Linked DNA regions of Diceros bicornis minor. The protein of the gene in region 1 interacts with the protein of each later gene in a pairwise test. Links are inferred from orthologs where the notes say so. Each region holds a gene or a part of one and is shown in the gene's direction. Other genes may lie near its edges.

Region 1 (16,178 bases):
CTTAAATGCATATTACTACATGAAAGAAATCAATCTGAGAAAGCAATATACTGTATGATTCCAGTTATATGACATTCTGGAAAAGGCAAACTATGGAGACAGTGAAAAGATCAGTGGTTGCCAGGGGTTGGGGGGAGGACGGGATGAACAGCTGGAGCACAAAGGATTTTTAGGGCAGTGAAACTATTCTGAATGATACTACCACGGTGGGTATATGTCATCACACATTTGACAAAACCTGTAGAATATACAACACCAAGAGTGAACCCTAATGTAAACTATGGACTTTAGGTGATAATGATGTGTCAATGTAGGTTCATTGATTGTAACAAACGCATCACTTGGTACAAATGATGTCAATAGTGGAGGAGGCTGTGAGTATATAGGGACGGGGGGTACACAAGTACTCTCTGTACTTTCTGCTCAATTTTGCTGTGAACCTGAAACTGCTCTAAAAAATAATATTTATTAATTTAAAAAAATGAATCTAGACACTCTCCTTACATCTTTTATAAAATTAACTCAAATGAATCATAGACTTAAATTTAAAATTCAAAACTACAAAACTTCTAGAAGATAACATAGGAAAGGTGACCTTGGATTTGGCAATGAGTTTTTAGATAAAACACCAAAAGCACAATCCATGGAAGAAGAAATCAAACAACTTGCAGTTCATTAAAGTAAAAACTTCTGTTCTGCAAAAGACACTGTTAAGAGAAGGAAAAGACAAGCCCCAGACTGGAAGAAAATATTTGCAAAACACATATCTGATAAAGGACTTGTATCCAAAATATACAAATTACTCTTAAAACTCAACAGTAAGAGAAAGACATATGATTCTAAATGTGTGTGCACCAACAACAGAGATTCAAAATACATGAAACAGGGGCCGGCCCGGTGGCGCAAGCGGTTAGGTGCGCGCGCTCCGCTGCGGCGGCCCGGGGTTCGCTGGTTCGGATCCCGGGCGCGCACCGACGCACTGCTTGGTGGGCCATGCTGTGGAGGCGTCCCATATAAAGTGGAGGAAGATGGGCACGGATGTTAGCCCAGGGCCGTCTTCCTCAGGAAAAAGGAGGAGGATTGGCGGATGTTAGCTCAGGGCTGATCTCCTCACAAAAAAAAAAAAAAAAAAAAAAAAAAAAAAAAAATACATGAAACAAAACTTGATAGAGCTGAAAGGAAAAATAGACAAATATACAACTATAATTGGGGACTTCAAAAATCTCCTTTCAAAAACTGGTAGAACTTCTAGACAGGAAGTCAGCAAGGATATAGAAGATCTGAACACACTCAACACGATCTAACTGAGAAATATAGAACACTCCACCTAAGAACAGCAGAATACACTTTTTTCCCCAAGTGTCCATGAACATATACCAAGATAGACCGTATACCGTATCTTAAGCCATAAAACAAATTTCAACAAACTTAAAACAACAGAAATCACAGAGTGTGAACTCAGTTACAGAAAATCAAAATCCAAAACAATCCAGATGCCATTGGGCTGGTGGTAAATAAAACAACGCCCTCTGGAAACTGGACTCTGAGTCTATTTCTCCTCAGAAAGGTTCTACAACTACTCTCAATGTAGCTGAAACATTTATTATCTGCATCAAAATTCTTTTCCATTATTGTATTTTTATATTACAATAATGGCAAATGAACAAAATTATAGATATAAAGTGAATTTAAAAACACATTTGTAGTAACCTGATTTACAAACTAACTTTCAGGACTCCACATATTAAACTGAGACTACTGTTACTTAGTATAGAAAATGAACACTTTACCTTCTAATGGAGTGTCTAAAAGATTGGCATGCTTTGTTTTCACATGAGTTTCCATATCTTGACTACAATCTTCTATTTTTCCACAGAATGGACATTCGGGAGGACTATACATTGTTTCATAAATTGATCCTTTTATTTTGGATAGGTCACACTCTTTTTCTTTACTTTTTAGGAATTTTCTAGATCCAGTTAAGTCTTCTGAATAAAAAGCGCTATGTTTTAAAGTACCATCTTTAGGCAAGCTTTGAGTTGAAATTTTCGGATGATTAGATGCACAAGCTGAATGAATACTTGAATTAACTTCCGATCTACACTGTAGGGTGTTGTCCTCCCTATTATCTGAAGTTCCGTACTGCACTGTATTGATCCTCTCAAAGTTTCTTTCTAGTTCATTTTCTTCAAAATGAGCAGTTTCAATATGAAAACACATTTCATCATAATTCACACCCGACAACTTGCAAAATGGACATACAACTTCGTTTTCCATGTGAACAACCAGGAGGTGAGCCTTCATGTCTGGTTCTGAGGTTACTGTTTCACCACAGATATCACAAGAAAGCATGGTACATCAGGTAGCTAGAAAAAAACAATATTATTTTAAGTTTGAAAGTAAGAGTTGAAGAAAAAGAAAATGCATTTTGTAGAATGATTTAGAAGAATGATGCTTGTTATTTAAAACTGGATTATTTAGATAAAGAAATTTTCAATGTACTTTTTGTTCCTCAAATTTACAAACTTATTTATAAATCTCAACTACTCACTATTGTATTTCAAGTTTACGGTTTCAACAAAACAAATGCAGTAATACTGCAAAATAAATAATTTTTAAAATATTTCAAAAAGTGTGTCTGGTTTAAGGTAGAGATAAAATAACGTTTATAAAATTGCCCAGGTATGATGAGTCAGGTAAGAGAAAATAAAGAGAAGAAATCTTATCAACTGATGTATCTAAGTACAAAACCTTAAAGTTGTTAACAATGCGGAGGCTAAATAAAAACATCATAATTAATAGTAGTTACCAGTTAAAGAGCTTTACAGATATCAAACTCATTTAAGTACCATTACAATTAATCTGTATGGCGAAAGCCCTAGTTGAGATATGTCACCACAGCCAGAAAACGGTTAGCCAAACTGCTAATCTATTCCGGTTCCAGAGGCTGTACTCTCAACTGAAAGAATAAAAGCAGAGTGCGCATAGTTGAAAAGAGCACTGATTCCAGAGACAAGAGAATTGGGTTATAATCTCAGGTTTTAGAATTTTGGATAAGACACCTCACCTCCCTGAGGTTCGGTCTATAAAATGAGTGGCACTAAATCAGCAGTCACTTTGGGTTTTATGGACTAATAAAGTACTGGCTACCGACAAAAAGGTGATTTTGCTAAGAAATCATCTTTAAAAAGCAAACCTCGCCACAATCTTCGTACTTCCTACTACAGACCATCGTTTGGCTAAGGACTAGTTAAAAACAAACAGGAAAAGAAAAATAAGAGAACTATTTAAATAAATTTAGCTTTACAAGAGCTCCCTACATTGCCCTTATTTTCTCATTTTTCTTCAGACAAGTGAAAATAGTCTCTGAGTTTAAAAGGAAATTCTCTCAAACCCCCAGAGGAAAGAACGTCACACCCAGAGAGCTTGCTCTTTTCCCGCGGCTAAAACAAAGCTGGACACAGAAGGATACACTTGACCTCCCAAACACCTTGATCAGAAAAAGTGCGTGAGAGACATAAGGAGGCCGGTGACAGGGCCGGAATGCCCCAAGGCCGAGTCTGCCCGAAGTTCCGCGCCAACGTCCCGAGCCAGGGCATGAAACCAGGACGGACACTAACTGGGGGAAAGCCGTGGGCCTGAGGAATGAGGGCTGGGACTGTCCGTTCCTACCGGCCCGGAGATACGGCGGCGGCCACACTGCTCTACGCTGGGCTTCCTCTCTGGGTCCCGCCGCTGCCGCCGTCTGGCTCGCCGGCAGAGGAGTGCGTGCGCGGCGTCGATTACCTTTCCCGGCCTGAAACACTGAGGCAGGCCCTCCCTACACCCAGAGATACACAGTTAACCAGGAAAAGACCCAGCGACTAAAAAACAAAAACTCCGACCTCCACTTTCACATTTAAAAATGTTCTTCCTCTTCCCCAGAAGGGAAGGACTCCCGGCATGCACCCTCCTTGCCGGTCTGGGTTGTAGTGCATTCTGGGAGTCGTAGTCATTTTTGCATCCTCCCATCAGGGTTCCGACGCCAGATTTACCAGGAGACACACTAGGCTCTGAGGTCTTTCTGAATGAATTCCCAGGGCTGGTCCTAGGGCATTATTCGAGTCCACGATATCCGTTGTCTAGGGCCTGATTAAGTAGCACTCCATTCTATTATCACTAAAGGGCTTATAATGCTACTAGGTGTCAAACTCCAAACTATGCTCTGCAGATGGGGGATGACTAAGCCAGGTTCTTGCCTCAGAATCACAAGATCACACGTACCTTATATTTACTGTTCAGTCCTTATTTCATTCAACAAATATTTAATGAGTGTCTGTTAGAAAGGCATTCTGCTTGGAAATGGGGCTGCAGCACTAATCAAAATACATAGGCCATTTGAAACACATTCTAGTGAGGCAGAGAAAAAATAAACAAGTAAATAAACTGATCATGATAAGTGCTATGAAGGAAATAAAGCTTGGTTATTTATAGAAAGGACTAATGTAGTTAGAAAAAGTCTCTCTGAGGAGGTGAGTGTGCTAATGAACAAACCTTTCACCAACAGGAGGAAGAGTGTTCCAGGCAGAGAATATAATAAGAACAAAGTCTCTAAGGCTGGAAGAAAAAGAACATTTTGTGACCTGAGTATAATGTTCTAGAAGGAAGAGTGGCTACAATATGCGGTCAGAGTTGTAGACAGGGGCCAAATCATGTAGGGCTTTGTAGAAAGCTATTGGAGTATTTAAATAGGAGAGTGGCATGATCTGATGATATACAGTATATTTTTAAAAATCATTCTGTGGGTTGAGTGCTTAAACATGGCAGATTGAACATGTACGTTTATATTCCCTGCCTTTCAAAATCTACTATAATGACAAAGCAATAATAATAATAAAAATAAACTAATGATATTTTAACATTTTTTTTTTTTGTGAGGAAGATCAGCCCTGAGCTAACATCCATGCTAATCCTCCTCTTTTTGCTGAGGAAGACCAGCTCTTCAGCTAACATCTATTGCCAATCCTTCTCCTTTTTTTTTTCCCCCAAAGCCCCAGTAGATAGTTGTATGTCATAGTTGCACATCCTTCTAGTTGCTGCATGTGGGATGCGGCCTCAGCATGGCTGGAGAAGCGGTGCGTCAGTGTGCACCCTGGATGCGAACCCCGGCCGCCAGTAGCGGAGCAAGCGCACTTAAGCGCTAAGCCACGGGCCAGCCCAATTTTAACAAATTTTGAAAGCTAGAGAAAGGATGGATGAGTAGTAACTAACTTAGCTAACAACAGAAGTCAACAAAAAACAGGTTAATTCATACACCAAAATGCTGGAAATGTTCAGAAATTAAAGACTAGATACTTCTGAAAAATATATTAAATTTGGGCCTGAAATTAGGGACATTTTGCTGAAAAGTCTGAATAAGGAGCAGTTTGAACCCTACCTCCAGATTTCCTCTATTACCTGGTTGCCAAGTGACTCATTTTTCCCTCCCAGACAGAAGGATACAGCTTTAGTTCATAAAGAAAATGAACTGGAAAGGCTACGAAGTCCAAAGTGCACAGCTAAGGGTGGGAGTCAAGGTGTTGGACTGAAAATGGAGAATAGTGAAAACTAAATTCTGAATTATGAGGCCCCTACCCATTTTCCCCCATCACATTCTGATGTCTGATTTGTGCCTCCAAGTCAGGAGATTGGAAAATTCTTCTCCAGCGAAAACCATTCGTCCAAGAGAAAAGACCTACAGATCATGACTTTTAGAAAGTCCTCCAATGAAAGCACCCGGTCCCATTTTATCACTCTGTAGGGAGGTCAACAACTGGTGAGTAAACAAGCCCCACTGATATGTAGACTTACAATAGGTTTCTTTAGTGTCTCACTTAAATATGAATGAATACTCAACAATCACCAGGAAAGATGAAAACCAAAGGGATCAAAAAGAAAAAAAAAAAAATGAACTCTGAAGAAACGGAGAAAATGAATGAAGGAGAAAAAAAAAACTCCAAGGAAACGACAATTAACGTCTTCAGCGAGACAAGAGAAGATATTTAATCCCTGAATCAAAAATAGGAAATAGCTCTTGGGATTAAAAAATACAACAGCAGGATTACTTAGATATATATATCAATAAAGAGCTCAAAGAACCCACGAAATTTCTCAGAAAAGAGAACAAAAAGAACAAGAGATGGAAAATAGGAGCTTCTTCAGGACAGGAATTATATGTTAACTTTGTATTCTGTGCCTAGCATTGCACCTGGAAAACAATGTTATTAATACTGTTTGTTGAACTCCAGGGTGAGTTACAAGGCTATACGTGTGTTATAATAATTTAGAGTACTTTATCTGGAGTTATTCATTCCATATATCAGTGACTACTTTGTTGTCAAAAATCCAGATGTTACACAGAATCCAATACTATAATTGAATGGCAAATTGAAAAGCTTGAAACAAACGAGAAGAGCATATACGAAAAAGTTAATGAAGCTGAAGAAAGAAAGAGTCTCTGTAAAATTCGATGATGTTGGGATTTTTATCCGTTGTGTACAATGTTGTAGCTCCAGTACCTAAAGCAGTGCCGGGCACAGATTAGGCCTTCAATCAATACTAGGTTGTAGAATGAAGGAATGAATGAACCAATGAATGAATGAACGAACTAACGAACAGTGAGTGATGAACGAAGACAGCTCCATGGAGGACTGGGAAGGTAGGACACACTCCTGCCGCAGTCGGGTTAAAATACCGGAGTCGGCGCAGGCGCCGGCTCCGCCTTCGGTGGGTGGGGCTGGGGCGCGCGCTTCTCTCCGCCCCTCCGCCGGTCCTTGCAGCCGCCGCCGCCGCCACCGCTGCCGCGTGCAAGGGCTTCTGGGAGCCGAGCCTCGGGGTCTCGGGGAAGGGGCGCAGATGGCCGCCATCTTGAATTGCGAACCTGGTCGTTGGGCTGCACGCTAGGGGCGGAGTGGCGACTCTACTGTTATCTGCAGCAGACCCCGCAGCCGGGGACTGGAAAGTGGGGGCACGGGTTAGTGCCACATTAATGGGTAAGTGGGAGTGACACAGGTCAGGTTGGGTGAGCCTCGGGTTTGGTCCTTGTGGGAGCTACTAGTTCCTGGGGCCACTGTCTATTCACCCCTTTCCTTGCGGAGGGTTGAGGACCATGCCGTACCGGGGCTTTTCTCGGGTTCCCCTGCGGGAGACAGCGGTGACGGGGGCGTGGCAGCCGGACCTTTCCCGTGCGGACGCGAAGGCGCGGGGAGTCCAGATCCTCTGACAGCCGGGCTGCTCCTCGGAAGGAGTTTCGGGCAGCCGCTCTCATCCTCTCGCCGCCCTGCTTCCCCGTTCTCGGTCGTTCCTCTTCTCGGTGCACGGTCTTGCCAAACGTGGCCGCTCACTCCCGGGACTCAGCGTCTGTGTGCGTCCGGCGGCTTATTAGAAGTTCCACGGCGTCCAGAATAGGGCAGGTCCGGCCCCGGGGGCCTACATGCCGCACCCTCTTCTCCGCCAGCTGCCCTCCTCCACCGGGAGGCAGGTGCTCGAAGAGCTCGGTCCCGACGTCCCCACGCCGGGGTTAGACGGTTATCCTGTCAGGTCCCTTCCAAGGTGAAGAGTTAATAGTGTTTCCTCGATAATGCATAAGACATGAAAAGAATTTGAAAGCTGGGAAACGGGATCGTGATACTTAAAAGAATATGATATTGGCGTTTACTCGTGGCTTTTTGAACACATTCAAAAAGACTTCTGACTTGATGTCTCTTAATTACAACACTCAGTGATTCATAGTTTGTAGGAAAGGGACTTTCTTTCCTGGTAAACAAGAAAAAGCTCTGTCCTTTAGATCTTTAAGTCCCCTGCTAGTTTGGTTGCAGGGGCTCAAGTCAGCACACTTCCCCTCTTTGTGTGGTCTTGTAATTTTGCTAATAGGCACCCAAACCCTAGAAATGGAGGCTTGACGGACACAAGAAATTCCGTTAATAGATATTAGAATCCAGTTCAGATTCCAGTTATGTGCCTAACGTCAATACAGCTTTTCAAAGAGCTGGGTAAAAAACAAGCTTATGACTGAAAAAAAATTTCTCTGCTCTGCAACTTTGAAGTGTCTGAATAGCATTTCTTATATTTAAAATAACTTGTATGAGACAGCAGCCTTTGAATACAGTCTTGAACGTTATTTTCCAGACAACGAAACAATCTCATTGGGTGAGGTATCTTGAGAGATCATTTTCCTTGGACTTAACGTCCCCTTGAAAGCAGCTGCAGTGAGAATGGATGCAAGTTAAATAACAGGCAGGAAGTTAGTCCATAGAAGAAAAAGGAACAAATAATATGAGTTGTTGGGGCTAGATTTTATTTGGTTAACATTTATATTGAAAGATTTTAGTGTAGTCGCCTAGATTAATGGTCTTAGAAGTAGTGTCTAGTGTGTATGTTGGGGGGGGCACAGGTGGAATTTGCAAAGCAGTTTGGCAGTTTCTTATAGTGTGAAGCATGTACTTGCCATATTACCCATCAGTTCTACTCCTAAATATTTACCCGAGAGAAATGAAAACTTACATTTACCCAAAAACCTGTACATGAATGTTTATAGCAGATTTATTCATAACTGTCCAAAACGAGAAACAACCTAAATGTCCTTCAACTAATGAATGGATAAACTGTGGTATATCCATACAATAGAATACTACTCAACATTAAGAAGGAATGAACTGTTGATAAATAGCAACAACATGGATGACTCACAGATACACTATATTAAATGAAAGAAGCCAACTCAAGACTACATACTGTATTATTCCATTTATGTGAAGTTCAGGAAAAGGCAGAATTATGGAGATGGAGAACAAATCAGTGGTTGCCAGGTATTAAGGGTAGGAGGAGGGCTAATGGGAGCAGCATGAGGAAGTCTTTTGGGGATAATGGTTATATGCCTTTGCATTTGTCAAATACATAGAACTGCATACCAAAAGAGTGATTTTTACTGTATGTAAATTAAAAAATAAAACGATTGAATTCATTATTCTCGTCTCAAAAACAAGCAGGTAAGCAAACAAAGCCACCACTCTGATCCTCCATTTGTATTCATTGTCTTGGGTTATTTGGCATCATACTGAAATAGCTCAAGCTAAAAACCATGGAGTCATCCTTGACTCCCTTTTCTTCTTACCACATATGCCTTATATTCATTTGGCCTAAAATTCTTATTGAATTAAGTTCAGAAATGTTTTTGGAATCCAGTCTGTCTTCTGTATCTCCAATGCAACTATTAATTTAGTTTAGGGCTTCATCAACAACCATCTCTTTAATTTCTTTAATTCTGTTCCTTAGCCTCAAGTCCAAATTTCTCAACCAGATTACAGGAACCATATGTGATCTTACCTACCTTTCTAGCTTTATCTTCTGTCCGTTCCGCCGTGCATCCTCTTGTTCAGGCACACTCAATTACTTACTGTTGTGTAGTTCTACTAGGCTTTTTCAAGAACTCTGCCTTTGCATATATTCTCTCTGCTTGAAATGCTTGTTCCTTCCCTCTTCCCTTTGTATGCTTTTCCCTGGCAAATTCTTGCTTGTCTTTTAAGATGGGATAACTATGAAGCCTTTCAGAGCTCCCTAAGGCACAGTTACTTGCTATGTCTTCTGTGCTCTCACAGGATTTAATGCATATGTTTTAGTGTACCTTACTACTAACAATATAATTTGCCAGTTCATTAGTCTATCTCTTCTACGTCAGAGATGGCAGATAAATGCCAGCCTCTCCTTCTCCTGTGTTTACTTCATAAGTGCTAATTGATCACAGCATTCTCTCTAGACGGACGTGGGTATGTCCTCAGAATTTATCAGAGTAACATTCTAGGTAGCCACTAATTATCTCTCATATTAAAGTCAAGTTGAAACCCTGCTTTAGATTGATTTTTTTATGTGTAAATCTAGAATAGGTTATAATATCAGTAATTTAGTATTCATTTCAGATAATAGCAAAATATCAGTATAATACTATTATTAAAAAGTGTTTATAATTCGTTTTCTAAAAGTAAAAATTACATATATTTCAAATATAAAATTTCATATTTATATAAAATAAATATTTTAAATATACTAACAATATAATGTTTATGTGAATGTTAATGTTTTTAAATACATCTGTAATAAAACTGTTTAACAATAAAGTATAGAAATATTTCAGTATTTAAAAAGAAGTAATTATACTAAAGTTCTCAAAACTGGTATCAAAGTCATGACTCACATCATGACCCGCGTGGCCTTATTTACTTAGGGCCTTAAGTAAATGAAAGAAGCCAGACTCCAGTAAATCTTTGAGGTGTGCTTATTGAAGCCTAATACCATATTTCACTGAATTTAAGACACTTCAATTCTGGCTGTTTCCTCATCTTGCCTGAAGCTGTAATTTAGAAGTTTTTTACCCAACTGTGTCATGATTATTTCCTGGCTGACAGTGATTTTAAGATGGATTCCACTTCAGAAAGTTTAAAATACCAGGGATGGGGGAGTGCATCTTAGAATCAGTGAAATTAAGATAATGACTTTGTGTTTAGAAAATCTATTATTTGTTTGATAGTTTATTCCTAAAATATTTTGCCATTTTGTTCCAATTTTGATATGGGAGTGAGAGGATATTCTTTGTGCCTCATTTTCAGAGTGGGTTTTGCCGATCTCTTTAATCCATGAGCCTGAATTTAGCAGCCCTACAGTAAATATTCCGTGTTGCTTTCAGAGTTATCAGTATCTGTTTTCTTCTCTCCTAACCTTAAGATGCCATGGCTAGTCCAGGGAAAGATAACTACAGAATGAAAAGTTATAAGAATAAAGCCCTAAATCCTCAAGAAATGCGTAGACGAAGAGAAGAAGAAGGAATACAGCTTCGAAAACAAAAGAGAGAAGAACAGGTAGGTGTTTTAAAATATTTAATTCTGTTTAATACAAAACATTATTATGTACAGATTTTAAAAGTTTTATTGTTGTTAATTTTTGGATAATTTTAAATGAAAAAGTATTTTAGGACATTGAATATACGTAAATCTATTCTTTAATTTATTAGTCTCCAGGGTTAACATTAGCAAATTCATGAATCAGAATCCTTTGCTATTTTAATCACTGACAGGAATGGCTTTTCTGTTGCATTGATAAACCGTTTATGTTAATCATATTTCTACCCCACTGCTAAGAAATTTTTACTCTTGAGCCTATTTAGGTCACTTCCATTTGTCATTGTAAAATTTGCCCCCTAAAAAACATTACTTATATTCATTTGTTGCTTTGCAGTTTTCATAGCTCTTGCCCCTAAGTTAATTATAAGCATCTTCCTATGCTATTCATATTGTTCCTCCTATAGTCTCATCATCTAGATCTCAGCCTGCTCTGTTTGAACTTTGTATCTATAATATATGGAATAGAAAAGTCATTTAAAAGATTGCATCTCAACATTTTTCATTCCAGGATATACTTAAATTTAGAAGTATTCATAAATATTTAGGAGGGTGTTGTCCTCACACAAATTAAATCTAGTATATGAAAAGGACTAGCAATTAAGAAAGTGGAGGAAGGCCTGTTTTAGAAACATGATTATAATTTGTCATCTCTCTATCTGTAGTATCTAGCACAGTCCTTACTATATTATAGTAGGTACTCAAAAAAAAAATCTGTTGAATGAATGATTAGAAAGAGAACTGTGTACAGATTGAAGAGCAGTTATTTTTGTATCTCTCAAAAAGAATATGATGCCAGATTTTTTTTCCTTAATTGATTTAGAAGATGTACCTATAAATCTCTCTCAGTTACCTTACCATGTCTCTTTTCTCCTCTTTTTTTTTTTGAAAAACAGAACAGTTATTTGTTCGTGGACTTAACTTCTAGTTCTTAAGCATCCATGAGGTGCTCGGAACTGTACTAGGTACTAAAATTATGGCAAAAACAATAAAAATTATCAATGGATATTTCTGAACTACTTAAAAAATAACCATTTGGAAACAAGATAACTATAACCATTTCCTCCAGACTTTTCAATGAAAAGTAACTTTGTAATTCATAATTACCTATTTATATTATTTGTTCAGCTTTATATTTTTTAATAAAAAGTACTAAATAAAACTTGATGTTTAAACTGTATTTTTTTATTGCTGTAAAAGTGACATTACATTAGTTTCAGGTGTACAACATAATAATTGAATATTTGTATATGTTGTAAAATGATTGTCATAGTAAATCTAGTTATCATCTATCATCACACATAGTTACAAATTTTTTTTCTTGTGGTCTCTTTTTTCCTTTGTGTTTATCCACTACTGAATTAATAAGCATAGGGCCATCTTTCCCTGCAAGTTATTCTCTATTCCTTGTTAATCTGATATACTAAGTTTGTTAAGATACCATATGTTATCTCTCTCATGGAACAGATTTGCTTTTTAATTAAGATTTTCTTGGAAAAATTCTTAGACATTTCATAATCCATTGTGAGCATATGTGCTTTTTCAAATGCTGTAAAATGTAATTGTGTACTCTACTTATGGGCCGGGCAGTTGGTAAAAGATTGGAGATTAAGAATGGCCCAAAGCAGTCTGCAGGGCAGGAGCTAACCTAGCCCGGAAAGTTTAACTTCTCATAGATAATTTGGGTCTTCCTGGTATGATTGGAAAATACTGAAATATTCAGAATTTTAAATGATAAAATTATTAGTTTGTTTTGTTCACTTAAATGAAAAATGTAATTTTATGGGAATTCAGTGTTTTATGGAAAGCTCAATGTATAAAGTGATTTCTCTTTATTACAGTTGTTCAAACGCAGAAATGTCTCTTTGCCCAGAAATGATGAATCTATGCTAGAAAGTCCTATCCAGGATCCGGATATCAGTTCCACTGTACCTGTTCCAGAGGTAGATATTACAAAAATGTATTTCAGATTATACTTCAATAATATTTCAGAGACAGTGGATACAGCAAATATTATTCATGCAAAATATTTAAATGATAAATTGCATTTTCTTTTGTGTGTTTTAGGAAGAAGTTATCACCACAGATATGGTTCAGATGATTTTTTCTAATAATGCTGAACAACAACTAACAGCAACACAGAAATTTAGAAAGCTCCTTTCTAAAGGCAAGAATTATTTTCAATATGCTTATTGGATATTACAGGATTCTGTAGTAGAGTTTTATTAGATATTTTAATACTTAGTATTATTAGATATGTTTTATTTTAAGACACTTTTCTTTGCCGGTAGGTCTTAATTTTTCTTTAAAATATATTTTTAAATAACCTCTATTTTTTAAACATCATATTATCAGAGTAACATGTTGATTGTATAATATTTGCAAAGATAAAAGAATTTTATTTATTTAATTTTTTTTGTGAGGAAGATGGACCCTGAGCTAACATCTGCCAGTCCTCCTCTTTTTGCTGAGGAAGACTGGCCCTGGGCTAACATCCATGCCCATCTTCCTCCACTTTATATGGGACGCTGCCACAGTGTGTCTTGCCAAGTGGTGCATCGGTGTGCGCCCGGGATCCGAACCCACGAACCCTGAGCCGCCGCAGTGGTGCATGCACACTTAATTGCTTGCACCACCGGGCTGGCCCCAACAAAGATAAAAGAATTTTAAAAAGCCAATATAAAAATCTAATATTAGTCCTGCTACCAAGAAACCAAGTTAGGGGTACATATTTTTAAATTCTTGTAGAAATATTTTTCAGACGTCATTTTTTTAAATGACAGCATAACATTAAAGTATGAATGTAAAATAATTTAATCAATCATTTAGTTTTTTCCCAATTTTTGATTTTCATAAACAATGCTACATAAATCCTTGTACAACCTAAAATTTCCTTAGTATAAATTCATAAAAGTGAAATTATGTATCAAAGGGAATAAACAATGTATTAATTTATACTCTCATCTTCAGTTTGACAGGTATTCATTTCACTATATTCTTACCAACACAATTATCTTTAAAAAAGAAAAAAATGCTTATGTAATGGTAGCTCATTGTGTCACACTTTTTGGGTACTCAGGTTGAACATTTTTCTTTAATTATTGACTTGTAATTCATAATTGCCTATTTATGTTATTTGTTCAATTTTATATTGAGTTTATAAAAATTTCTTATCTTACGTTTCATATGTGGAATTTATAGAGTTAGTAATTCTAGTTATGTTGAGTTGTATACATGAACCAATAAGATTTTGAAAATGCCTTGGCGCAGCTGCCTTCTCTTCCTAAGAGAGACAGAATTTAGTAACACATGAGAAATGAAAGAAATCTTGTGTTCAGGTCAGCACAGGTTACAAGGCTTTTGCTTTTGCTTTCTCATTGTAGTTCTTGTTCATAAATACTTTTAAGTTTTGTTTCCTTGTTTTCCAAGCTAAAGTAGCTTAGCAGTGTTAGGAAATCCTTATACACTCAAGAATAGCTTCCTCTTCCTCACCATACTCCACAGTTTTTTTTGTAATTGGGATTATTTTTGAGTCAGATTAATGTTGTAAAATTCTTTTTTACATAATCATATTCTCTTTCAAGATTTCTTTTTGACATATGCATTATATTATAACCTATTAACAGAATTTATTTAGATTTAATTCTGTTTAAGGATGTTACAATTTGCCACTGGTGTTTTCATACCACAGCTTCCCTATTACTGAATTCTTTGGTCATAAGATTTTATCCTTATTTGCCCTAATTCCTCAGGATATTCTGTTTCTTTTAAACTGTATTGTCTTTTCATAAGTCAATGACTTTTGTCTGTTTCTTCATAGTGGGATTATGCTTGCCCAGGTCGGGCATACAACAGGAGTTATAGATGTTTTCTTTTACTGATTGATGTGCGTTCCTGTCAAATTCATCAGGCCTAGAAAAATATTAGATTTACTGTCATTTTACTTGATCCATCTCTGTAGAAAACATGGGAAAGGAGCCAGAATTAGAACTGGAGCTAAAATGTAACTCCTCTGATTTAAGTCATGATAGTGACATTTTACTAGAATCTCTTATTTACTTTCCTGTCATGGCCTCTCTTGTGGATGTAAATCACAAGTTGTCCTTTTCTTCAATCCTAGTTTTATAGAAATTTCTCCAAGTCTTTTTTCTTGTAGATGACTCTTCCTTAGTTTTCAGTGCTGAAGCAGGTATTCCTCTATATTACTTATGTTTACATTGCCATGTTGACTAAAACTCTTCTCTGTAATAGTTTATCACCTTTATACGATTATATAGGCTATTATTCTGTCAGTATAATGCCAATGTGAAAGTTAATAGTTCATGATACCTGTTAGTTTAGCTGATGTTCCAAGTGCACTTATAATTGTTTACTTTTAGATGAAAGTAACCATAAATGTGTTGCTTTCAATTCTCCAGGAAGATACTATATTTGAGTTCTTTCATCTATGTATGTATCATATCTCTGTATATCTATCTATATTATAGATATAGCTAACAGTCTCAATACCCAGTTCTCACCCTCTAACCAGGAAATCCTACATTTACTTCCTTCTCTCAACCTCCCCTCCCTCTCCCCTCCAATAAAAAGAGCAAGACAAAATTTTTGTCCCTTAAAAAAAAAAAGAGGATAGTAGATTTAGAATTTTCCTTTGGAAAAAGAAAAAACTAGAAGGTGAAGATGGTAACTACAACCTTATAATTTTGTTTTGATATTTTTAAAGGTGGGGAGTAAAAGCATTAATAATATATATTGTTTTATCCTGTTGCTATTTTATAACCATAACAACAGTTTAAGCTAGGGTCTGGAATTTGCGTTTTGAAGAATCCAGATATTTCATTTAGAACACCCAAATAAAGCTTTATGGGTATAGCTTTACTAACTTTGCGGAAATCTCTAATTTTTGATCAAGTTAGAAGGATAGCAAATTTGTAGAAAAAAGAAGAAAAGGAAGAAATAAGTCCATTCCTAAGAAAACCTTTCTTAACAATCGAGAACATGATTTCTAAGATTTAAGCCTGTTTAAAACTTAATAATAAAGTTTTTCTATATCAAACAAGCAAGATTTTTGCAGAGGTTTATGGTTACCATTTTATTTATTCATTCTGCTGAATAAATACAATATGTTAATGTTTATATGTGAGTTATTTACGTTCAGTAACATAGTCAAACAGAGGAATGAAGAAAAGAAAGAGTCAAAGTGGAAATGAGATTTCTCTTGTGTGACTAGGTAGGTGGACACATACCTCAGTAATAGACAGCTTTGGGTGG
Region 2 (16,178 bases), on another chromosome or scaffold:
AAAAATTCCATTGTATGGATATACCACATTTTGTTTATTCATTCATCAGTTTATGGGCATTTGTGTTGTTTATGGCTATTACGAATAATGCTGCCATAAACATTCATGTACAAATTTTGTATGGACATATATTTTCATTGTCTTGGGTATATACCTAGGAGAGAAATTGCTGGTTCTATGTTTAATTTTTTGAGGAACTGCCAAGCTGTTTTCCAAAGCAGTTGTACCATTTTACATTCCAACCAGCAATGCACAAGGGTTCCAGTTTTTCCACATCCTCACCAATATTTGTCGTCCATCATTTTTATTATAGCCATTGTAGTGAGTGTGAAGTGCCATTTCTTTGTGGTTTTGATTTGCATTTCCCTAATTCCTCATGAAGTTCAGCTTCTTTTCATGTTCTCATTGGCCATTTGTATATCTTCTTTGGAGAAATGTCTATTCAAATTCTTTGCCCATTTTTAATTGAGTTATTTATCTTTTTGTTGTTGAGTTCTAATAGTTCTTTATATATTCTGGCTACAAGTCCCTTATTAGATATATGATTTGCAAATGTTTTCTCCCATTCCATTCATTGTCTTTTCACTTTCTTGATAGTATCATTTGAAGCACAAAAGTTCTTAATTTTGATTAAGTCCAATTTATCTCTTTTTTCTTTGGTTTGTTGTGCTTTGGGTGTCACATCTAAGAAAGCTTTGCCTGGGCCAGCCCTGTGGCTTAGCACCGACGCACCGCTTCTCTGGCCATGCTGGGGCCGCGTCCCACATACGGCAACATAGGCTGTGCAACTATGACATACAACTATCTACTGGGGCTTTGGGTGAAAAAATAAATAAATAAATAAAAATTTAAGAAAGTTTTGCCTAATCCAAGGTCATGAAGATTTACTCCTATGTTTTCATCTGAGTCTTATAGTTTTAGCTCTTATATTTGTCTATGATCCATTTTGAGTTAATTTTTCTATATGGTGTGAGGTAGAGGTTCAACTTAATTCTTTTGCTTGTGGATATATAATAGTCCAGCACCATTTGTTTAAAAGACTATTCTTTTCACACTGAATTGTCTTGGCACCCTTCGGTTGTCAACTTTGTCATTAGTTGCAAACTGACTGACAAAGATTTTTAGAAGATTCTACCTAGTCTAGGCAAGGGTGAGGGGAAGTCTTATACACTGCTAATGGGAGTATAAAAGAAGTACAGCCTCTGAAGGGCAATTTGCCATGCATATCCGAAGTTGAAATATATATACTCTGATTCAGGAACTGTATTTCTAGGAATTTATTTCAAGGAGCTAATGGTACAAAGATATTATTTATAATGGTGAACAACTGGAAGTAACCTAACATCTATCTGTAGGAGACTAGGTAAATAAATTATGCTACATCCATACAATGAAAAATGACGTTGACTTTAAAAATGATGAAGTAGATCTATATTTATTGACTTGGAGCAATCCCTGTGACCTACTGCTAAGTGAAAAATAAAGGCATGTTACAAAGCACCATTTGTGGTAGGATTCCATCTATATAATATTATATATTTTACATATGCATGTACATACATAGAGATAGCTCGGAAGATATTCACAAAAATGTTAACAGTGGTTGTCGCTAGGTAATGGGATTTTGGCTGGCTTTTTTTCCTTCTTTATACTTTTTGCATTGCATGAATTTGCTGCATGAATATGTATTGTCTTTATATTCAGAAAAAGAAAAGCTATTTTCATTTTGTAGAAGAATGTCCTCATGGAATATATATTGTAGAAGACTATTCAATGGCATGGAAATATGTTCATAATGTATTGTTAACTGAAAAAAGCAGGTTACAGTATCATCCCAGTTTTGAAAAATTTTTTTAAATGTAATATATACAGTATTTCCTAGGTACTATGACATTTTTTTTCACTACTTACTATTTCTCAAATAAGGATGTCTCTTCTAATCAATATGAATATTTAATGTAGTGGGTTCCCACCTCCCTGCCTCCCTGAAAAGCTGTTATTAATGAGATGATGCTTCTGGCAATCTGAGACTTGAGAAAGTGCCATGTGTGTGTAGAGAAAAGACTGGAGTAATAGACACCAAAATGTGAGCAGTGCTTAGTCCTGAATTGAGCTTTTTATCTTCTTCTTTTTGTTAAGGATAGTTTCCCGTTTGTCTATAGTACATGCACAGGTAAACATAAAAAGAAACCAGGAAAGTGGCTGCCCTGCTTTTCAAGGAAGAAAGGGTGTGAAGGTATTGAAGACTTTTGGCCTCCACCAAAATAAAAGACTAGCAAATCAGGGAGCATACAAACCGCCTCAGTAGTGTCCGAGTCTAGAGTGAGGACTAACTTGCATGCCCACCGAGGGACCCCTGGCCGGGCAGGAGCTGGCAGAGCAAACTCGAGAATAGATGGGGGAGTTCAGTCAGCAGGGGCAGGACTCTTGGATCAGTCTAAGTTCTGTGCGGACAAGGAAATCCCCGTGAGGTAGGAGAGGGTCCGGATGGCGGCAACACTGGCTAATTATGGAGGACAGGGATGCCCAACACTGTGGGCCACTCAGATGTTGTCCAGTCTAGCTCAGAAGCACATTCCCAGCTCCTCAAGAGAGACCAAGGACTGTGTGAAACAGAAAATGAGTCCACCCCTTTCGAGAGTCTAAACATATTGGTTTGGGGCGAGCCCTTTCCTCAGCCAAAGGGGCAGGGTAACCACAGGAGCTGAAGGACATGGAGCAGAGGTAGCAGACTGGTGGCCACAGCAGAACTTCAACAACCCCAGAGGAGGCCAGCAAGCTCTGGGCCTCTGCCAAGGGTAAGGGAGGGACCCAGGCTTGCAGTAACTGTGGCCCGGGGCACAGAGGAGAATGCCAGGCACTGTGCCAGGTAGGAGCTTCACCTACATGATCATGTCTAATCCTCACAACAGCCCCAAGATGAGCAGCCTGAAGTTCAGAAAGGTTATGTGGTTTGTCGAAAAGCACACAGCCGGTAAGTGATGGAATGGGATTCCCACTTCACTAGACTCCTTCTCTAAAAAGGGAAAAACATTGAGCACAGTTAATACTCATATTTATCATGAGTATTAACTCATTATTTACTGTAATGGTAGACGGAAAAAACAAGTTTGAAAAAAATCTTCAATCTGATTCCAATATTGTTTTTTTAATTAAATATGTACAATGTAGAAAAAAAACGCTGCAAGGATATACACCTTAACGGTGGATGTCTCAATGGTAAGAATTTAATTCTTAAATTTTTTCTGTTTTTTTTTTCTTTTCCCCCACAATCAGCATGTAAATCTTCTTAAAGCAGAGAAAACAAAAAGTCTTTTCAGAAGCAATTGTGAGGACTAGTGGATCAAAGTAATGAGAATGAATTACAGTGAGACCTTAATGACAGAGAAATCCAGGCTCTTACTAGCTGTGTGAGTTCCACTTGGCTTCGCTGGGCCTGTTTGCCAAACAGTGAAAGGGGATTATGGTCTTGTACCAGTGAGCTGTTGCCGGGATTAATTGAAACGCAATATACACGAAAGTCCCCCGCACAGTACTTGGCATAAGCATGGTGCTTAATAAATATTAAACCTGACTCTTAGTAGTCATTGCTCTTCCTTGCTGCCCCAGGAAGGCCTGGCACCTACAGCTGTTTCAGAGAGCAGAAAGGAATCTGGTGCCCTTCAGAGGGGCCCCTGGATCTACAGCTGCCTACACACCTGACACTCCCCCTCTGTTTTTACCGTCTGGAGACTAATAGAATCTCATTCCTTAACCCACTTTCACCTAACTTTTTGCTTCTCTCTCTCCCTTTGTCTCAACAATCTCAGCTGTCTAGATAGTATTTTTGAGTACAGGCGACCGACATTATTTTCAACATAACATGCATTTGCAGAGCATCTATGTTCTAAAGACGGCCCCAGGCTCCTGCTCTTCATTCCTGTCATTCAGAAATATTTGTATGAGCTCAGTCTAGTTGAGAATTTAGATCCTTCAACAACTCCCACGTGTTGCCTAACTGCTAACAGGTACACATACCATGTGGTGGAAACTCAGAGGCACATGTGTATGGGAGAGGAAAGGAAGAATGAAAGTATTTAAAGAGTAATGATTTCCTCACCCTATATTTACATCAGCTTCGTACACTGTCTTGACTAAAGAGAAACTGTGCCCATTCTGCTAAACTGGCTTCAAAGCCAGTTAAAACAATGCTTGAGAGGGGCTGTTTCCTCTCATCTGCAGATGTATTAAAGTATGTTCATAGCCACAAAGTTTGTGGAAGGCTGGGTCATCTGATGATGTTGCTGATGCAGTGGTGTGGAAAGCAGGTCCAAGGAGTTACAAAGTAGCTCAGCGTGTTCTCCTAGGACATTTTGGGGTTTACTGGAATACACACACATTCTGATTAACAGGCAGTTTTAAGACTCAAAGGGGTGCCAAAACTGGGCATTATTTGATATATTTTTTACTTATTAGGCAAACATTAACATCAATGGAATTAAAAAGAGATTCACCCAGAGTTGACTCCCTAACAAACTAAGCTGTTTTCACTTTTCCTTATTCCCTTCCAGCCCTTGTTCAAATCTATAAACCCATGAACATGATACTAATTGTGGATTAGATACAATTAAATACTCTACTCCTTTCTCACACCCAGATGCGTACACAGAATGATGTTAAGTACAGCAATATTCAAACTCAGGGCACTGTGACAACAGCCCCTTCAGGCCTGTGGACTGACAGTCAGTGGAAGATGTTGGCAGGGCTGTGTGACACACCCTGTTCTGCCTGTGTTATTTATGCCTCTGGCAGTGAAACCCCTGACAAAGAAGCATGTCACTGGAACACATGCTCTTTGTTCACAGAGGTGCATGCCAGCACCGGCTGTGTCAGAGGGACAGAACCGGGTCTGTAGTCTCTCCTCCTTTGGCTCGTTTGCTTTCTTTTTATTTGCTGCACATTGTGGCTATGTTTATTAATTACTTTGTAGCTTAATCTTATAAACACACATTTATCTTGTGAGCTGTGTATCATGGGGAAAGAGTCCTTCATACCCTTGAGTTGGTCATAAAAAGAGAACAGGGTTCCAAGATTTGCCGTTTCTCCCCAAAGATCAACAATACACCTCCTCCACGAGCACCAGGTTACCTCTCTCCAGCACAGAGCTACGACGTTCCAGTCTCCTTGGGCACCTCCACTGTACCTGCAAGTCGGCGCCTGTGGGCTGTTTGGTCTTAAAGGCCCTCTACAATTGTTCCCAACTGACTGTTCCAAAGCAGGCCCCCACACTATGACTTCATTCCAGTCAGACTGCTGGTGTAGCAGAAAAGATGGCAGGCTTTGGAGTCAGACCCATCTGGGTTTAAACCCTTGCTCCAGCTCTTGTTGGTCACGCAGCTCAAGGTTCCTGAGCTTCAGCTCCTCATCTGTGAAATGCTTAAAATACAACTTACTTCACAGGCACAGGATTAAATGAGAAGGAACATATCAGGCCCTAAAAGTGGCTGCTCAATCTTGCTAATCAAGTTAGCTCACGAACTGAGTTGCGAGTTTTTCGTAAAAGCCTTCATCTCATGGCCCTGTGGTTCTCAAAACCTTACAGTCACAGACCTCGTGTGACATCCTGAAGAGAGTTCCCTCACCGTTTTCCCGTCACAGAGATGTCTGCTAAGACTAACATTTTAAATACAAGACTCAGGAAACAACACACTAGAAAGTTCTTGCCTTTTCCCATAATCCTTCGAAAACTTTCTTTTGCTTTGAAATTTTAATTCATTCGATACTTTAAAAATTGCTATGTGGTTTTGTTTGCCACTAAATGAACCTAGGTAAAATGGAAGGGGAGAGTCTTTCTTAACTTTAAGAAAACCTTAGGTTCATGCACAGAATTGTAAGTTTTTTTCTATTCATAAGTTGTTCTCAATCTTTGGAGCTTCTTATCTATATTAGAATTAAGATGGTATCTGATTTGACAAATCACGTATTTACTTATTTTACGCTGTGTATAACGTTGCGTTACTTTCGGGAGGTCTGCAAAGCAAACAGTGCTCTAACCCGGACTCTCAGGGTGCTCTCCGAGCCAGCCCATTACAAAGGCTACCTGTGAAGCTTCACCGAATCGGAGACCATCAAGAATTTACCCAGCTCACAGGGGTGCCCTAAGAAATAAATAAGATAAAAGTCTGCGGGAAAACTCTGTAAAACTCCGAGGCCCCGTTAGAAATGCTAATTGCTGCCTTCGCTAGCCCATATTTAAATGTTAGAAAACCAGGGAGATCCTCCTGAACTCAGGGACGCTCGGCTCCTCTGTGGCTGGGGCAAGCGGTCTGGGCTACCCCCGGCCCCGAAGGCCGACTCCGCCCGGTGCCACGCGGTACAGCGCCGGCAGGCCACGATTTCCGCCCCCGACGGGGGTCCCCGCAGCACTGCCACCACCCCCCGGCCACGGAGACAGCCGGGTTCAGGCCCCACACTGCGTGGGGAGCTTAAGGTGAACCCGAAAGCTCCCGTCCCGCGCTTTCTGCTAGTCTCCTGCCTTCGCGGGCGTCGGGCTGGCTACGTCGAGCCTCTGCGGACGGACCTGGCCTTAGGGACCCCCGAAGCCGGACTGTGCAGCCTCCCCCAGCCCTCCCGGCAAACGTCCAAGCCCGGCCCGGAGAGCCGCCTCGAGGCGCGGCGAGCGGGGGCCTGGGGGTCTCAGAAGCCCCCGAGGAAGGTCTTACATCAGCCACCCCACGTGCGACCGGAGGGAGGGAGGGAGGAAGCCGCTGCCGTCCCCCGGGCTGCGCCTCTCCCCCCAGCCTCCGCCCCTCCCGCCGCGCGTCTCCCCGCCCCGTCCCTGGTGCAGCCGCGGCCGCCGAGCCGAGCGGCGCCGCGCGGGGCCGAGTGGAGCCGAGCAGCCGCCCGCGCCGCGTCGCCGGTTTAAGCGCAGTGCGGGCCCGCGGCCGGGGGCGGCGGTAGTGAGACCAGCGCCGCGCTCCAGCCCCCTTTTCCCTCCATGGTTTCTCTCCGCTCCCGCGAGTAACTTGGCTCCGGGGGCTCCGCTCGCCTGCCCGCACGCCGCCTGCCGCCCGGGACCGCGCCGCCGGCCTCTGCCGCGAGCAGACCCCTTCCGACGGCCCTCGCCGCGCAGGCCGGGACGCCTCTCCCCCCTCCGCCCCCGCCGCGGAAAGTTAAGTTTGAAGAGGGGGGAAGAGGGAAACATGGACATGAAGAGGAGGATCCACCTGGAGCTGAGGAACCGGACCCCGGCCGCGGTAAGCGGAGCCCCCCGCGGGCGCCCTCTCCCCCGATGACTTGCATGTAATGGTGGCCACCTGCGGGGCCCGGGCTCGGGCTCGGGCTCGGGCTCGCCGGCCGCGGCGCGGGAAGGGCGCAGCTCGCGGGCTCGGACGGGGAAGGCAGGCGGGCGGGCGGGCGCGGAGGGGGGAGCGAGCGCGCGGGGATTAACTCTTTGGCGCCCGCGGACCCGCGGCCGTCCGGGGAAGGTGGGGGAAAGCAAACTTGGAGCTCCTCGCCCGCCACGGTCCTCTCCCCGCCAAGCGCGTGTGCGTGTGGCCGGTGGCGAGGGAGGGCGGAGGGGGTTGTGTAACGCTGGGAGCCATGTTTGCAGCCTCCCGGGATGCGCGGCCCGGCGGAGGCCGGGCCTGCCGAGGAGGCGCGCGGCCATCCGGGCTGGGCCCGCCGCGGGCCACCGGGCTCCGCGCGCCCCGGGCCGCCGGGGAGGGGGCTCGGGCAGGGGCTCCTCCGGCCGGGCCGCGGTTGGCGCCAGCCCGGCCGAGGACGGGTGCCGTGGGGCTGGGGGCCACTTTCGCCACGGAGCGGGGCGAGCAGCCCCCTCGGGCGCCGGGGGGCTCGGGCGGGCGCGGCCTGGCGCGCGCGGGGCGGGGGAGGGGCGAGCCCGGGCGGCGGAGGTGGCGCAACTGCCGCCCCTCCGGAGGCCAAGTTTGAAAAAAGGATGCGGTTCCCGCCATTTTTCAAGCCTAAAAATAAAACTTTCTCCCCCCTTCCCCTCGCTACCCTCGCGCCCTCCGGGCCTGCCCCATTCCTGGCCTCCAGGGCGGGCGCCGGTCGGGTCGGCCGTGGCGGCGGCCTAGCACTCCCCCCCCCCCCGCCGCCGCCGCCGCCGCCCGGGGCCCCTGCCCCGGAGGCTGGCCCCTCGGTGTGGGCGGGCGGCGGCTCCTCGCGCCAGCCGGGCCGCGCCACGGCCGACACAGCGCCATGTTGGCGGGCGCTCGTCTCCCTCCGCCGCGTGAGCCGGCCCGCGGCTCCAGCCCGCCCCCAGCGCGGGCTGCCGGCCGCCGCTCCCCGGCCGAGCCCGCGGCTTGTTTTCCGCCCGCCCTCCGCGCCGGGGCTCCGCTCGCACTGGCGGGAGCCGCGCGCTGCGGCCGCCGCCGCCTCATCTCCTTTCGGGCGCTGCCATCCCCTCCCCCTTCTTAAAAGGGCAACGCCAGGCGGCCGCTCCGCCGGGCCGGGCTCCGGGGTCTGGCGGGCCTCGGCCGGGCTCGCGGGCCGGCGGCCGCTAGCCCCGCACGTGCTCCAGGGCGGCTGACCGAGGCCGGCGCCCGCCCGCCGCGGCTGCGTGAGGCGGGCGGCTCTTTAAGAATCGCTTCTTTCTTCTCCGCTCCGGCCCGCCCCGCGAACTAGGGCGGCTTCCCGAGGCCGGGCGCGGGGCCCTGTTCCCCGGCCCCCGCGGGGAGGCCGCGCCTCCGCCAGGCCCGCTCCTCGGGTGAGCGGCGAGCTCTGGCCCGCGGGAGGTGCCCCCGCCCGCCGCGGTCCAGGGGTGCGCGCCTTTCGTGCAGTCAGGTCGCCGTGGGTAACAAGTTGCCAACTTGTGGAAACTGGTCCACCGGGGTTTACCTTGTGCGCACGAGGGTTTTGAGGTCGCCACAAATGAAGTGCGGGGTGGGCCGCACCGCGTGGCCGCCCCTCGCTCCCCTGGAGGACCTGAGGGAGTGGGCGACTCCACTCGCTCCCCCCGGTTTGAAGGTTGAGGTTTGACCACAGTCGCCCCTGCCGTCCATCAGTCAGACATTTTGTGTCGGCCACGTGCTAGTATATCGAACTGTTCAGCGTCTTCACGCCGTAAAACTTGAGTCGTTCATTGTGAGGAGCAGCTCATTTCAGACGTTGGCATTGTGACTGCGTAGCTGCAGATCGGTGAATGTGGACTAATTAAATTTAGCCAAAATTTCCAAAAGAAAAGTAGCACATGGATCTTCAAAGTGTTTTAAAATCGAGAATTTGAATTTTGAATGTGCTTAAACTAAAACGCTTAAAATACTCGATAAGAGCAGTGTTGTTCCCTCTGGGAAATAAAACTGGGTTGATATTCCCATTATAAGTGATTTTTTTCATATATGAAATAACCAATGATATTGCTTTTTAAAATGCATATGTATGTGCGAGTTTTAATTTTTCAAGTAGTCGACTTAGGCCTTACTGGCTTGTCAAAGATGGGCCAGTCATGTGGCTATTTAATTAAAATTAAATTAAAAGATCACTATCCACATTTCAAGTGCTCAAAAGCCACAGGTGACTTGTGAGTACTGTATTGGACAGCGCTAGCCTACAGAATCCGCTGGTTTATTAAACAAACACTTGAGTACCAACAATATGCCAGGGCCTGTAAAAGCAGTGTGAACAAGACAGAGCAGCCCCTTCCCTCCTGAATCTTCAGGACCTGGTGGTGCTTGCTGCGCTGGTGCATGTTATGTGCCTTAGGAGAGTGTTGTGGGAGCCAGCCCAGACTGGGGGGGTAAAGGCTCCCCCAGGCCTCTGGCAGGGAGACTGAGACCAGTGGCAGTTAGGTTCTTAGGAGAGGAAAGCTTTGACCTAAAACTGAAGCATTTTCAGGAAAAAAAATGCTGTAGAATTAGAAGGAAATTTTAAGAGTTAAAAAGTGTTTTGCACAAAAGCATCATCCTTAGGGCAAATGAGTAGTTCCAAGATCTTTTAAAACCAAAGTCAGCTGGTGACATGGCTCCTTAGGTGTGTTGTGGGGCTAGCTGTTCGAGAATAGGCCCTGTTCTCTGGCCTACTCAGGATCGGGGATCCTGCAGGCTCTTGTCATTTGGGGAAACAGGAAGAACCCTTTCTTCATTGAATGTGCTGTTATAAGATGGACAGGAGACTCTTAAATGCACAATAGTGTATCCTATAGTTGACCTTAATGTCATCAAGTGAGATCTAAGAGGAGGAGGGTAAGTGGAGCTTTGATCATAAGTGATTTTGGCTTTTGTTTTTGTTTTGGGGTTTGAAGAAGACCCTGGTAACACTTTACCTTCTTGTATTCTTTGGCCAAAGTACATGAGACCAAGATAATAGGTTTACTTCACCTATTACTATATCTTTATTCCTTGTAAACACAGGTACGTTTATTTCCCTAAGGGGAGACTTGTAAAGAAATATGTAATTCAATTTTTTCAAAGTCCACAACAGCTCTTGATATCAGAGGTGTGTTCTCATAGTGGAAAAAATGGCCTAAGATGGCGTTTTAAAGTAATCTTCATAAAGAATGGTAATCACCATTTAAAAATATCTTATAGGCAAGGATAGGAAGTATTTTATGTAAAATATTTGTATTGTCCGTTACCTCACTGAGAACATATTGTACAGTTCTAGAACATGCCATATACACCACAGAAATTGGTGGTATTGTCAGATGTGAAAAGAGACAATGATGTGCAGTAGTGAGATATAAACCAAATTTATCATATTTCAAAACTGGAAAAAACCCGTGTTCTTTATGTGAGGCTCTCATCCTTGCATTACACCAAATATGCCACTCTGTTATGAGCACCTCGTTAATAACTACGAATCACGGGACAGCTATCCTTGATATTAGCTGTGTTTGAGTTTTTTGTTCAAAAAACTTAGATTTTCCTCAGTTTACATCTTAAATTGTTTTCCAATTTTTGGCATCTGTTGTTGTGTCTATTGTGATGTAATTTGGAGCTCAATGGGATATTCTAATTGGTTGCATGGCAACTAGTTGGGTTTTTTCCTTGTATAAGTAATACATCTTCATTGAAGAAAAATTAGATATCGATAAGCAAAAATAAAAAAATAGAAATCTCTCACACACACATTCTACCATCTAGGCATTCTCGTGTATAGTCTACTAGAATGTTTAATTTTTTCCAAACTCAGGTAATGTTATCGAGGCATATACTGTCTTGTTGATTTTATTTTTACATATATAATACAGTAAATATCTTTCCATGTTACTGTTTATTATTTTACAACGTCATTGTTAATGTCTGCATAGATCATAGTTTAACCATCCCCATTGGGTGGTTAGAAGTTTTTTGTGGTTTTAAATAGCACTGAAATGAACATCTTGTCACGTGAATCTCTGTCTTCTGCCAAATTGCATTTCGGAATGGTTCCCTTCTTTACCTACCCACCAGTAGGATATGGGTGTTTCCTTGCTTCATGCCAACAGTTCTGCCACCTAAACACATCTGAGAACCACTAACATAAATTTGTTCTGTCATTTTGAAAACATTCTTTAAAATAATAGAAGGGTAGAAGGTTTGAACATTGGTTAACTCAGGATGGAAGTTGGCAAGGATGGCAGGAGTTACTTTTTCTTTCTACATTTTTGGATTATTTCACTTACTACAATAATCGTGTAAAGAATTGATAACTCAAAATGACCTTTAATTCCTCCATCCCCCCCATAACAATTATACCTGTTATAATTGGGGAGGGTCACCCAACCAGTTAGGTAAAATTGATCTTTTTTTTTTAGAGTAGCTGGGGGAGTGGGAAGTGAGCACAAATTGGAGAGGATGAAAGGAAAATCACCTGGATCACCTCTGGCCCCCTAGCTCCTATCCCCCTAACTTGGCTACAATAGAGTTCAGATTTTTCAGTGAAAAAGTAGTAGAACACACTGCTGTTTTTGCTGATTGCTATAAAAAACAGAAACAAGAGTTAAATAAGAAATAGTATGGATTTTTGGGTTTAGTTTTTAAATGTTTAAATTCATGTTTGAGAAAAAGCTAGTTTAATTGGAGAATGAGGGATGAACAAGAGTGAATTGGGCCCCAAAAGTTAAGCTATCGGTCTTTGAACGGAAGGCCGGCTAAGTCTACCTTGGACCAGATAGCTGCCTAAGCTGTGCACACAAATGCACAAGTGCCTGCCTGGCCTTCCCTCCTTAGATGATAGCCCTGGCAGGCTTGGGGATTTGTTTCTTCCTCTTGTGAAGGAGAAACTAGGGCCATTTCTCCTTGATTAGAACCTCTCATTTATTCTGGATCTAGATTGGGAGGCCGTGGGATTATATGGACACCTCCCCCCCACCCCTGCTCCCTCAGTCTGGATCCCCTCACAATCAGGAAGGAGTGGGGGAGAGAGAGGACTTAGTTATCTCAAATGCTGCTGACACAATGCCTGAGAACACTTCACCAAGGTCCTGCTTAGAGCCTTAAACAGGCTAGAAGGGTGTGATGGCCGGCTTTCCAGACCTGTCATCCTCAGGCTCAGCCCTAAGTAGGGCCCTCCTATGGTCTCTGCTTTCTGCAGTAATTCTCACTCTGCTCTGTGCTTATTCCCCAGTAGCTCGTCCTCTTACCCTGCCTCTGGAGGTAGCATGTTTCTTTACTACATCCTTGGCCTTCCAAAGGTCAAGGGACGTGCGTCCTCTGCTGAGCGGTACAACCCTCTGCCCTACTCACCCCGGTAAATTACCCCAGTAATTCTGTTGCCTCCTACTCAGGGAGAAAATTAAAGGTCTCAGGTGTGTATTCCCTCAGCTTCTTGCTCTTCCATTTTGTAAACTCACCTGCACCTGAACGCCTCCTAGCCTTCTCTTCTCCACAGGAAGAGCTGCCCTACCTCCAACAAGAGTAGCATGATAGATCTCACTTTTAATATTCACTTTTTACTACTTACAGTTGAACAATTTTTTATGTTTACTGATGATTTGTATTTTTTATGGCTTGTCTGGTTTTTGTCAGTGTTTCTTTTGGGGTATTTTTTCCTCACTTGGGGTAAAAACAGTATTCTCAAGAAAAAGATAAATGCAAATACTTAGAATTTTCATATATCAAGAAAGGTCACAAAATTAAAAGTTAAATAAATTGGAAGAGAATTTTGCAGTAAGTGTTAAAAGAGAGGTTGGTTGCCTTTTAAATAAAGAATTTGTAAGTCAATAACAGAGACTCTTTTCATATTCTTTCACCTAGCAATAGATTGTGAGGAAGCAATCCTAATTACAGAAGAAATTTTACATAAAAAGATATTATGGCATTATTTGTAATAGGGAAAATTGGAAACATGTTCAGTAGGGAGGATTGTAAAGTAATTTATGGTACATCCATACACTTTAATTTCTTTAGCCATTAGGAAATATTCAGAGTTGTTATTTTAAAGTATGCTAAATAATATAGTTTTATCTCACCTATGTTTAAAATATACAAAGACAGACTGAAAAAATATACCAAAATGATAGTGACAAACAGTATGCTTTGCATTATGTGATTAGGCTTATAATCGGAGAGCGGGATCTTTTTAATCCAAGTTTTCTTTGTATTTCATCATCTGCTGATTCCTCTGAAATCCTGGCACAAACCCTATGCAGCACTCTGACAAACCTGTGACCATTTTTTCTTCATTCAACAGTTGTAAAGGATCTTTCTCATACTAGGATATAGTGGTAACTAAAACAGACACGACCCTGCCATCATGAAGCTTCATGAAGCTTAAAGTCTAGCAGTGACTTTTTTTACCTTTATTTTTTTAATAGATTAATATTCTCATCATTGAAATACTAAATAAAGTTCTATAGAAAAGTCTCCCAGCGGCTCATTTTCACTCCCTGAGAAATTTTATGTACATGTAAGAAAGTGAATGTGTGATCTGTTACATAAATAACATACATTCTGTACAGTTTTCATCCCACAGTATATCCTGGAAATGAGTCCCTTGTTGATGGGCATTTAAGTTTTCTAATTTTTTCAGTCCTTTTTCAATAACTTCTCATGCCTTATGTCATACACCTTTCTGGGAGTTTGAAACTAATGCTTTACCTTTGGGGGTACCGGTCCTGATTCTTCTTAAGTCTCCTTTGTAGGATCCCCCAGGGTCGGTCTTCTTCCTAGGAATTTCATCCTTTCGCCTCTACTTCTGCCCTGATGACACCCAAATACAGAATAACCCAGACCTCCCCTGAACTCCAGCCGTGTCCAGACTGCCTGGGGATACTTTTACCTGGACGTCCCCTGGGAACCTTAAGCTTGATATCCCTTGTGGTATTCATTACATACCTCCTCAACAAGCTGTGCCTTCCTTCTTTCCATCTAGCTACATGGTTCCTGTTTCTCTAAACCAGAACCTCAATTCCTCTCCTCCGTCTTCCATACCCAACAACTAAACCTGCAAATTTGAACCACTTTCTTTTTTCTTTTTTTTTAAAATAATTTTATTTATTTATTTATTCCCCCAAAGCCCCAGTAGATAGTTGTATGTCATAGCTGCACATCCTTTTAGTTGCTGTATGTGGGACGCGGCCTCAGCATGGCCAGAGAAGCAGTGCGTTGGTGCGTGCCTGGGACTGAACCCAGGCCACCAGCAGTGGAGCACGCGCACCCAGCCGCCAAACCACGGGCCGGCCCTGAACCACTTTAACATCTTTCTTTTTCTCCCACTTTCCCCTTCTTGATTCCTTTTCTGCTGTTTGGTTCAGCAAACATGTTCTAACTCATGTTTGAATGCTTTATGGTAGTTTTTGATGACCATTTCAGCAAGTGAACTGAGAGGCAAAATGGCTTAAGAGGCAACATGGCCAACTCTAATTCCTCCTCACTTGGCTTTTGGCATATTAGTGTCATTCTGTATATAATCGTAGAAAATGCCTCAAACCAAATGGAAACATTTTAGCTGTATTTCAGTATAGTACTTAGTGGGTGGGCAGTTACAGTTGACCTTTTTTTTATGGTTTGTTGGTTTTACTTTTTTTTAAAGATTTTATTTTTATTTCTTTATTTTCCTCCCAAAGCCCCAGTAGATAGTTGTATGTCATAGTTGCACATCCTTCTAGTTGCTGTATGTGGGACGCGGCGTCAGCATGGCCGGAGAAGCGGTACGTTGGTGCGCGCCCGGGATCCGAACCTGGGCCGCCAGCAGCAGAGCGAGCGCACTTAACCGCTACGCCACGGGGCCGGCCCTATTATTTTTGATACAAAGGAAATACATGCTTGTAAAAAACTTAGTGCAGATATGAATAAAGTAAACTGAAGGTCCCTGTCATTCCCTTACTCCCTTTCCCCAGAGGTTCCTTTCTCAGCATTTACTGTGTCCCAAGCGCTGCTCTCTACAACTCTATGAGGTGGGTAATATTATCTCCACTTCACAGATAAGGAGTCTGAGGCACAGAGAGGTTAAGTGACTTGGCCGAGGTCACGACGCACGTTGTAAGTGGCAGAGCCAGGGTTTGACCGCAGGCATCTATCTCCGGAGCCCAGCTCTCCTGGGCTCCACCTCTTAAGTTTTCAGATGTTCTGATTTTCATCTGAAGAGGCAAGAATGGCAGAGGGGAGGAAAAAAAGAAAGAAAAGGTGTAATGGGCCTGCGTGCATCCTGAAACCAGGGCTTCTGAAGAGGTAGTAGGGTAGTGAGAAATAGTAAAGAGTTTCTGGTGTTGTGGGTATCACTGACTCTCCAAACCTATTTCCTTCTCTGTAAATGGGGGGAGGGGGGATGAAGAGTAAGTTCTCCATAAATCATAGCAATGACTAGAGTAGTATCTTTGGATTTTGTGGGGGGGGGGATGAAGATGTTACTAGCTCCTGTCCTCATTTTAGAACCATCAGCATCTCCCTTCCGTATACAAGTTTGATTAATGCTATTAAACATGGTAGATTTGCTGCATGAATGCCTTTGGCAGTTAAAGCTGTTAATTTGCATTACTGTAAATTGATCAAAACGTGTTAAAAAGTTGCAAATCTCAGAGTCAAGCACAGAGCAAGAATGGCAATAGGGATTAATCATGGTAGATATTCACATAGTAGACTGTTTATTAAATAATCAATATTCACCATCTTCAGATGTGACCCCCTTGGATGGATTTGAATTCTGAATTTTAGGACCACCAAAGAAGGAGATTTTATGGCCTGAAAAAAGCAACCTAATTTAATGTCTAACAGTTCTCTCCCCTAGAAATATCTTTCTCACATGTAACCCAAATTGAT

The links.
Region 2: the proteins of KPNA5 (region 1) and ANP32B interact in binary tests that used the Homo sapiens proteins (3 or more experiments, as listed by UniProt). The two-hybrid records come from large-scale screens. The link is inferred for Diceros bicornis minor from reciprocal best matches to the Homo sapiens genes KPNA5 and ANP32B.

Annotation. Positions count from the first base shown.
Region 1 is NC_080762.1:19,218,757-19,234,934, reverse strand, and holds the start of KPNA5 (importin subunit alpha-6), read left to right. Parts: upstream 1-6,871; 5' UTR 6,872-7,006; coding exon 7,007-7,010; intron 7,011-10,734; coding exon 10,735-10,868; intron 10,869-12,748; coding exon 12,749-12,850; intron 12,851-12,974; coding exon 12,975-13,074; intron 13,075-16,178. Other genes in the region: ZUP1 (zinc finger-containing ubiquitin peptidase 1), read right to left, coding at 1,791-2,352. UniProt on the Homo sapiens protein: Functions in nuclear protein import as an adapter protein for nuclear receptor KPNB1. Binds specifically and directly to substrates containing either a simple or bipartite NLS motif.
Region 2 is NC_080767.1:8,234,732-8,250,909, forward strand, and holds the start of ANP32B (acidic leucine-rich nuclear phosphoprotein 32 family member B), read left to right. Parts: upstream 1-6,939; 5' UTR 6,940-7,181; coding exon 7,182-7,235; intron 7,236-16,178. Other genes in the region: HEMGN (hemogen), read right to left, coding at 6,080-6,108. UniProt on the Homo sapiens protein: Multifunctional protein that is involved in the regulation of many processes including cell proliferation, apoptosis, cell cycle progression or transcription.